Drosophila melanogaster: one gene and its partners. The protein of the gene in region 1 interacts with the protein of each later gene in a pairwise test. Each region holds a gene or a part of one and is shown on either strand. Other genes may lie near its edges. The genes, in order: CG30324, CG17328 and CG42659.

Region 1 (2,842 bases):
TGCGACGCAACGAGCGTAATGTGATGAAGGTTCCTCGTACCATCCGTGAAACGGTGGCTGCCAAACAGCTCTTTGAAAAACTCCTGAAGGATGTGCCAGTGAAGCAGTCCGCATTTACTCCGATGCTGGAACTCTTCGTTCTGCTGCACAAATACCAGGTGAAGCTTAGCGAGGAAACATTTGAGCAGGTTATGGGATTGGAAACGGCTTGGCTGCATTACCTTCAGGTGCTGGAGGAAGCGGATGAGATGCTGGACAATGAGGACAGTGAGGCCAAGTTGCTATTGGCCAAGCACGGCGAAAAGTTCAAGTTGATATTAAAGGATTTCCTGGAGGATTTCTATTCCAAATTACCCAAGAAATAGGAGTATCATAACTATTATCATAAGTGATAATCAATTTATTTACATTAAATTTAATTTGCACACCTACTAGCTGAGTAATGGGTATGTGATAGTCGGGGAAATTAACTATAGTGATTTATTGAAAAACATGCAAATACTTCTCACATTCCGAACTTTTATTAAACTCTTTTTTCCCCAATTGAGTCCTGCCCAGGATTACAAGTCATAGCAGAGCGATTTATTGGTACAGGGACAACCATCGATGCCGTAACGCCCAATCGGAATGTCCGTCTGGGTCTCCTTGTGCTGCGGTCCTGGCAACTCGTAGAATTTCTTACCAAAGTATCGATCCGGGAGATAGTACGATGGATACTCCGCCCTCAGCCTCTCGTGATCCTCCCGCAGAAATTTTGCCAGTTCGGGAGTAGCCCGTCGAGCTTCCAGGCGATACTGCTTCGGCTTGGCCATTCGGATTGGAACTTCCAGGTGGAGCTTCGAGTGCGGTATGTAGGACAGCAGCTCCTGGTCGAGTTTCACTGCCTGCTCTGCACGAATTTGTGCGCAAGTGGCACACTTGCATTTTCCACCATGGTAGCAGTACCGCTTTCGTCCATCCTCGTCCACCATCAGCAGTGGGGTGCAGATGGGCGACGGAACCGGTTGTGCCTCCGTCTGCGTGGCAACCGACTCCTGGGCGGGATCGGAAAACATTGTGGAAAGAGTGGGGTTCAAATCGGAAAGGTACGAACGATTTGGATTGCAGAATGAAACTAAATATCGGAGAAAAACAGATGTATTATCAGCAAACTCCTTGGCAACTAGATATCAAAAATTACAAATTTTAAATTAAACATTTTATATTGTGCAGCTTGATTAAAGTTTCCAAGTGGCTGGAGACACCTCTGCTGCATCCACAACTAAGTGCAGAGTGAGGATATGCAGCGGAGGAGTTCCACAGCCAGGTGAGATCCCCATGCCGATCACAATCTTTTATCCTCAATCGTTTATCCCCCGTGCAGTAAATGTTTTTGCTGAGATCCTTCTTATCCCGCTTCACAAAACCACAATCCGGACACACATGGGACATCGCTGGATTTCTTTGTGCAGCCTTCATCTGAAGATAGTAATCCTTGAGCTTTCGCTGACGCACTTCCTCGAAGAACTCGCGCATTTGTGGCGAATCCCGAACAGTGGGCTCCTCGATGGGCTTCCTACTCGCTTGCATTGGACAGACGACATCGTCGTGTTGAGCATTCTTCGACATTTTCAACTGATCGTGTCGGCCGCTCGTTATTTTGCCTTTTCGCGAAGAAGAGGACATATATGACATGTTATCCAAATCCGTGATCCTGATCGAAGCACTTGTCCTCTTTGGCACTTTGGATGGCATGCTGATATCTCGACTTTGCTGCGATCCATTCGTGAACTTTCGAACGTAGGTGTTGGCCCTGGTCATTGACCCGGTCGTTTTGAGTAAATACCAGTTGAGGCCCATTGGTAGTTGGTCGATAGTCGAACTGCAACGGTAGGATAGCTTTTTCTAAAACTGGAAATTTTGACTAAAAATATATCGATACCTGTGATTATGGAAAATAGAACTTAATCCAAAGGAATCATTAAACTTTGCACACAATAAACAAAAAAAAAAAACTAATTAAAACTAATAAATAGCGTATCCCCCTATCTTTGCGTCATGATATCTTATCATATCATTTTAACATGCCAAATTGCATCATGCTAATCATTAGGTAGGTACTGCTTCTCTATAAACCATAAAGTGCTTTTAATGATTAGAAAGCTTTTCATTTCCAATTCGCTCTTATCGTGTAATCTCTAACAACGAATGAGCTTTTGGAGAGTAGTACAAAATGAGCTATATGAAATGGTTTATGCTCATTCGCTATCCACAAGCGAAGCGGTTGGGATCGTCAGTACCGACGAAATGGAGAAGATCGAGGCTGAGAGGCAATGGCTGAGATACACGGTTCTTCCGTCAATTCTGAGGAACGGGCGCCTGGTGGACAACTACAGCGAGTCCAAGGTGACCACATTCCATGTGGGGGACATCGACATTGATGTAATTGGCCACTCGGAGGCCTTTATGCTAACTTTTTGCTACCGGACAACCATTAATTTTGAATACGACGGGCAAAAGTTTCAGCGAAAAATGGTGGTTAAGGTAGGTTTATTCCATTCACATAGTATAAATAAATCTTAAACAATCTATCTGGATATCTAAAAACACAACGAAAAGATTTACTATACTCGCGGAATTTAAATTATATTATATAAGTGCCTTAACTGCGTACTACTTACCAGTTTTGTTTTCCAGCAAACTCAGATAGCTTAGTGAGAGTGTGGGTTTTATGGCAAACATTGTGAAATAGAGGGAGGCATCTCAACAAAAGAACAAAGCGAATTGATTTTGAATTCAAAATAAATCACATCTAATGATGAAGTTTACTTTGGCATGCAATGACCCCAGAATACCAATAATT
Region 2 (3,764 bases), on another chromosome or scaffold:
GCTCCATTTTCGCCGGACTGAGCACAGCCAGCAAAACAAATCCTCCACAGCCAGCCATGTACAGAATGGCACCCAGCGATACCACCTGCAAATTAACAAATATTTATTATTTATAATTGCGGATAAGGATTAAATCTGCTGTCATGCTGTCATAATTAATTTATGCATATTCCAATTAAATTCCATTATAAAACGGAAAAAATTGTCCTATAGAAATTCGATAAAATTATAAATTTAAAAGTATTATTGTTTGAATACTCTCTAATATATTTGCCCTTGATTTGAATTAGTACCTTGCTAATTGCTACCAATTCTTGATATTGTTTTCGCTTCCAAAATGGTTTATGATTTCGGCACGTTTTTTTCTGAACGTATATAAAACTAATTTAATTTCTGTTCATCTGAAATGTACACACATACACTGAATGCATTTTCAAATATTTTAGGTGTTTAAAATTGTTTTTGTTAATTTAAAAAGAAAATTTGAGAATCTTTGCTTCGCCACTGACAAATTTGAATTTAAATATCACGTTTTGCCATTAAAGATTTAGAAGTGCTCGCGAGTTTCTTTGCATATAATTTGATTTTTCGGAATACTGTATTTGCAAATGTGGAATTTTGGTGAACACGTCAGAAAAATCGAAAAATGTTTGAATTTTACTTTTTTGAAGTTTTACTTTCCGAAGGATAAGAGTAGGCTCTATGCTCTATGGACGGATCTGCACTCTATTGGCTTGATTGATCCATCCGTTCGATTGCTCACCTCATCCTTGGTGAGTATGTGATCCACCAGCGTGCGGTCGTCGGCTTTCTGCTTGTCAATGCCCTTGATGAAGTCGAAATAGGTGTTAACTACGTTGCCGGCGCAGTGGACGGTGACCACGGTGAAGGCGGTGAGAAAGAAGGTGGCCAGCGAAAACTCCTCCGCCCACTGGGAGCGGTAGGCCAGGGCTGAGCCGAGCAGCGTTGGAACCAGACTGGCGGACAGCGACCAGGGACGCAGAGCTAGGAGATAGGTTTTCAGTTTCATAAACGTTCCGGATGTGGATGGGTGTCCTGTTAGTCGTCCCGTTAGTGCTACTCCGGCATCTGCACCTGCTGCACGAGCTCCAACAACGGCTTCCACCTCCTCACCGTCCTCTGTCTTGGTCTTGCCATTCCTGGACAAGTTGCCATTGGGCAACAGCTGGCTGCTTGTGGCCATGGCAAGCGGCACTGGTTAACTGGCACTTTGCGGTGGAGTGAAACGAGACTAGCCGCCAGGTATTCGTATTCGTCGGATTGTTTGACCTTGGTCACCTCCTCTCCAGAATTTGTTTACAATAGTTAAAGTATTCAATTTGTGCCTTTTTGGATGCCGGCACATGCGCTGCCTGGTCTCGATAATCGCTAATATTGTATACACAGCATCTTGAAAGTGGGGAATATATGCGGGGATATGTATATTATCAGCGGGGGGTGGAGAGCTCAGGTGGTCGGGGTCCCGAAACCACGAAATTTCACCCGTGCAGCTCCCAGTTTCTCACGCTCTCTCTCTCTCGCTGCCCCTCTCTCTCTCTCTCTTTTCCTCGACCGGTGCGAGGATCGTTCTTCTTATATGCCTCTCCTTTTCCGGCTGCGTCTTTGCTTCCGGCTATCGATTCCGGGTTAGTGGCGCAAATCGATTTGGCTGCGATTTTACTCTTAGTTATTTTAATCAAACAAATCAACTGTCACGTCACGTCAGCGCAAAAACGAAAAAAGGTTACACTTTTTCGTTGAAGGTGGCAACGCCGTATCGCATGTGCAGCCCTGCCTATTCCTACAGTTTTTACCCAAATTTCATAAATGAAAATAATTCAGATAATATGCAATAAATATTTAGCGGTACATGTATGTGCATTTTTTATATAATTCGTAAAACAAAGGTGGGTTTTAAATATTTATGTAATCATTGTTATCAACACTTATCAACGTAATTAGTAGTTGAAGTAGCTCACCAAAATATTACTATATCTTTTGCATATTTGCGGAAATGAATCCACATTGAGTATGAAATTCATTTTAAACACGCGAAACAAATTTAATCATATATGATAGATTTGTTTCACAAGCTAGAGTTACGACTGTACCGTTGCAGCCCTGGTCCCAATCAGCTGATAGGAGTTTAGAGCAAAATTTTCAATAATTTTTTTGTTGATTTCTATAAAATTGAAATAAAACATGGACTATAATATCCACAAAATATGCAGAGTTTGCCTGGAGGAACTACATCCTGTAACTTCGATATATAGTACAGACTTTGCTATGATGCCCTCCGTAATGTTGATGCAATGCGCTAAAATAAGAGTGGGTTCTAAAAACAAAATATTTCAATGTTAATTGGCATATGGAAATTGTTTTAGGTTTTTAAAACCGATGGCCTACCTTCGGTGATCTGCAACAACTGTATTTACCGGCTGGGGGTGGCCTTCCACTTCAAGCAGGAATGCGAAAACAGTGATCTCCGACTGCGACAATATCTGGGCATTCTGGAATCCTGGCGCCAGGATGCGGCCACCAATACGGACTTTGTGGAGAAGCCGTTGCTTCCGCAGCGCGATAGCGATGAAGAGGAACCCGTGGATGCCAAAGTGAGCAAGAGGCGGTCGCGCTATCAAAGAAAGCCGCCAGAAGAGCACAAAAAACGGGGGCCCAAACCTGTGCCAAAGATGCCCCACACCTGCTACGAGTGCCACAAAAGCTTCAAATGCATTGCCCAATTAACACAGCATATAAGAACACATACTGGCGAGAAACCCTACCAATGCAGCTTTTGTATCCAGAGATTCGCCCAAAAGTACAATCTTAAAGTCCACGAAAGAACGCACACGGGCGACAAGCCTTTTCAGTGTGAGATCTGCTCAAAGCAGTTTTCCGCGTTAGGCAATTTCCAGGCGCACCAGAAGATTCATTTAGGAGTGCGGGATCAGGTATGCTCGCTATGTCAGAAAGGTTTCTACACCGCCGGTGATCTCTCCAAGCACATGATAACCCATACGGGCATCAAAAACCATCACTGCGATGTCTGCGGCAAGGCTTTCAGCAGGCGAAGAGATATGCGGACTCATAAATTGAAGCTTCATCCTCTGGAGTCCAGTACAAACCATGATATAGTGGATGATGATGATGATGAGGCTATAGACACGGATCCCGTGGGTCTGGACACCCTCGATCACGCCCACTTCAAGTGTCCGGATTGCGACAAGGCATTTGATACGGCGGACAGCCTAAGTCTACATTTTCGCACGCATGCGGCGAATAATAATCTACTGAATTTGCCGTTGCCTCCTGCACCACCTATGTCGCATCACTACCATCACGATGCACTGCATCATCTCGGCCCACCGAATCCCGCCACACAAATGGGAATGGCTGCAATGGCTCACATGTTGGCACCGCCGCCGCCTCCACCGCCAACGCCAAGTGAAGGACGTTACACTATGCTGCACCACACGGCGGCACAAAGACTACATTATTAGAGTATAGCTACGAAGATTTATCTTAATCATAATTATTGTTTTAGATTATGTTTTGATATTGAACACTTTTATTTAGTTTGTCTATATAAAATGGAATATTTTGTCATGTTTGCTTTTATATCTTTACAATAAATACATGTAGAAATTTGGCAAGCACAGCTTCTATTAAGATTATTACTTAAATGCAAGAACTAAAATCACTAAAAACTCCCCGCGCGTACTTGTCGCATACTTGTCGTCGATATAAAAATGTCATTGTTGTAT
Region 3 (2,757 bases), on another chromosome or scaffold:
CCATTTCCATATCTTGGGCAAAGGAGCAGGATCTTCTGGAGGATCAGGAGGGTCGATGTCGGATTTTTCGATCGACCACGATGACAAATAATTCTAGGGCTACTCTCCAGCCATCGCCGAGATGGTATTATAGGTCGAACGGGCCAAGTTTCGGATACTTCGCGAAATTTCATTTATCAGGTAGTTAATGTCATCCGAACTGACCACCTGCTCCTGGTCGACATGGTGCTCCGGCGTTGAATCGTTTACAATCAAGACTATTTTACGAACGGGCTGAATCATGCCGGATACATCGATCACGGGCTCCGACACATGGTGATCAACCAGAAATGCCTGATGCATGATGATCACCAATTGGCGGATTACTGGCACCACGCGATCGAGGACGTTGATTGCCATTGGGGCCAGTACGTGGTGTACCACGTGATCCACAGACGAGGACATGACCAAGAGACTTGAATTTTGAATTTAGAAAACTATTTTCACACAATTTGCGACCTGATAAACTAAAATTCCCAGGAGTTCTAATTTGAAATCTAAGCCATTTCGATTGGAATATTTATATTATTTCCCCAGCAATATTCAACAGTTTGGTGACGATGAATCAATTTTATTATTTCTCTACATAGATGTGTGCGAGGCTAATTGGTGTGCAGTTTCAAAGTTCAACTATATTTGTTCCCGCCGTTATTCTTGCATTTTATACAGGTACTCGTCTCGTCAATAGCTGCTATAGCAACGACTGTGCCAGCCACCGGGGGTGTATCCTTTGTAAATGTCGAAGTTGCACGGACATACTGCGCATCTCGGATAGGGGCCAATGTAGAAAGGGTTTATGGCCGGAGTCCAAGGACGACTTAAGTAAACCATTTTCAGCACTCGAAAGAAGTCTGCAAATCTTATTTTATAAATACATCTCCCACATTTTCTCTTTCGAAACTCACCGGAAATGGAAGAGAAAAATGAGAAATTTAAACAAATGTTTGACCAGAACAACACGTTTCGTGCTTGAAATTTGAATGAAGAAAATGCGTATGTACGCTTATGTGTTATTTTGTTGACATTTAAATCAAGAATGCTGGTTTAAATTTATTTGACTTCATTTTAGATAGATCATAAGAAAATGAATTAATTTTATCTGTATTTTTTATCCACAGTTATTTTGTGCTAAAATAGAAAAGAGCTGGTAATTTGAGGTTAATATATATTATTATTGTTTTTATTATTTATAGATATTCATTTTATTTATTTATTATTATTATTAATTTTTTTGAAATATAATGTTACAATATGACGGTTCGATGCCCAGGAGATGATGAGCTAAATGGGTTTAGCTCAAGATGTTTGAAGATATTAGCAACACACAACAAGGTTGTGTGTTCAGCACATCTCCAAAGGACTCCTGGTTCATTTTTGCAGCTTTGCCTTTTTCCCCACTACTTCTGTTCCCGGAGCTTCGGTTCTTTTTGGGCTTTCTGGTCCAGTGGTTGCTTCGCCGCGTCCTTGTTGGATTGTGGGGCGGGATTGCATCGGGGTAGTTGGGACTCCGGGCAAACTCCGCACTCCGGAACCGTGCAGTGGCCCTCCTCCAAGCAATCGGGGTCACAGCAGGGCGGATCGGGTCCAATGTAGCCCGGATTAAATATGCAAGGCATGCTGCAGCACCTCCACTGAAAACGAAGGTCGAGGCAGATGGCAGTGGCAAATTGGGTCCCACTTTATAGATTTTGTGAATTTACATAGATGCTAACTGGGTGCAATTTTCGGGCCGAGTGAGGCTCATAAATGTTCTCATTTCCATGGGTATTGAAACACAATGGAACGGGTAACTAGATGCCCGAGTTGCGCAAATCTCTAAACAAAGCTAGTTAATTTCGTACTAGAATCGATGCGAATAGCTCCCACATTGAACTCTATCTCCCAAAATCCGAATCAAAGTCCAATCGCCCTTAAAATCACCGGTTAGTGCGTGCAGAACGCTTATAATTATTTCATAATCGGGCAACACTTCAGTTTTATGGTGACAAAAGCCAGCGGAAAGATAACTGCAACTGCAGGCCATCGAAACTGGGCCACAAATGGCTGCAGGCACAAATATGGAATTTAAGTTGAAATTAATGAATAATTAAGCTGCTTTGGGCAGACGCTCGCAGCGGAAGTACAGCATTTGCATAGCTAACACAATGAACTACATACGGCCGGACAAGACTTGGCCGTTCATAAATTAGATATGCAAATGTAAATGCGAATGGAAAACTAACGGCAATTCCTTTGTCAATTAATCAATCAATCAACGCAGCCGCTCGCTGCGATCCAGAAAGCGATGCGGAAATCACTTGTCCCACATATGTACCTCTGCCCCCGCCCAGAAACTCCATCCATCGCCATTTCCCCCTGGCCACTGCATCTAGCTGCATCTGGCTGCATCTCCATTCATCTACATCACGCATGCCAATTTGCCTCAGCACGGTTTTTGATTGCCCGCTAAGTTCGGAGCGTTGTGAGCCCCCATCGATGCTTATCCCCCGGTTTTAAGGCGATGGCAGAGTCATTAGCATCAAAGGGCCATGGTGATATGACCAGCGCTCCTGGCAGCTCATCTGCACTGTGGTCTTTGCAGTGACCCAAAGAGTTTGAACCGAAGTGCTTTGACTTGGGTTAATTTGTGGGCTTTCAGCTTGGAAAGTATAAAAGTTTCACATGCATTGTTCAAGCACACAAAATACCGACAAAAAGACCGAAAAGGGTTTATTTTAA

What was found.
Region 2: the proteins of CG30324 (region 1) and CG17328 interact in a two-hybrid assay, tested with the Drosophila melanogaster proteins (one large-scale study listed by BioGRID).
Region 3: the proteins of CG30324 (region 1) and CG42659 interact in a two-hybrid assay, tested with the Drosophila melanogaster proteins (one large-scale study listed by BioGRID).

Annotation. Positions count from the first base shown.
Region 1 is NT_033778.4:16,287,086-16,289,927, forward strand, and holds CG30324 (uncharacterized protein), read right to left. Parts: upstream 1,149-2,842; 5' UTR 1,056-1,148; coding exon 561-1,055; 3' UTR 501-560; downstream 1-500. Other genes in the region: CG9068 (uncharacterized protein), read left to right, coding at 1-365; CG30099 (uncharacterized protein), read right to left, coding at 1,186-1,839; JhI-26 (juvenile hormone-inducible protein 26), read left to right, coding at 2,287-2,523.
Region 2 is NT_033779.5:16,298,109-16,301,872, forward strand, and holds CG17328 (uncharacterized protein), read left to right. Parts: upstream 1-2,105; 5' UTR 2,106-2,202; coding exon 2,203-2,328; intron 2,329-2,384; coding exon 2,385-3,500; 3' UTR 3,501-3,657; downstream 3,658-3,764. Other genes in the region: heix (heixuedian), read right to left, coding at 1-85, 764-1,204.
Region 3 is NT_033779.5:18,005,681-18,008,437, reverse strand, and holds CG42659 (uncharacterized protein), read right to left. Parts: upstream 1,079-2,757; 5' UTR 945-1,078; intron 891-944; 5' UTR 871-890; coding exon 721-870; 3' UTR 596-720; downstream 1-595. Other genes in the region: CG42635 (uncharacterized protein), read right to left, coding at 1-10; CG42634 (uncharacterized protein), read right to left, coding at 100-444; CG5693 (uncharacterized protein), read right to left, coding at 1,437-1,655.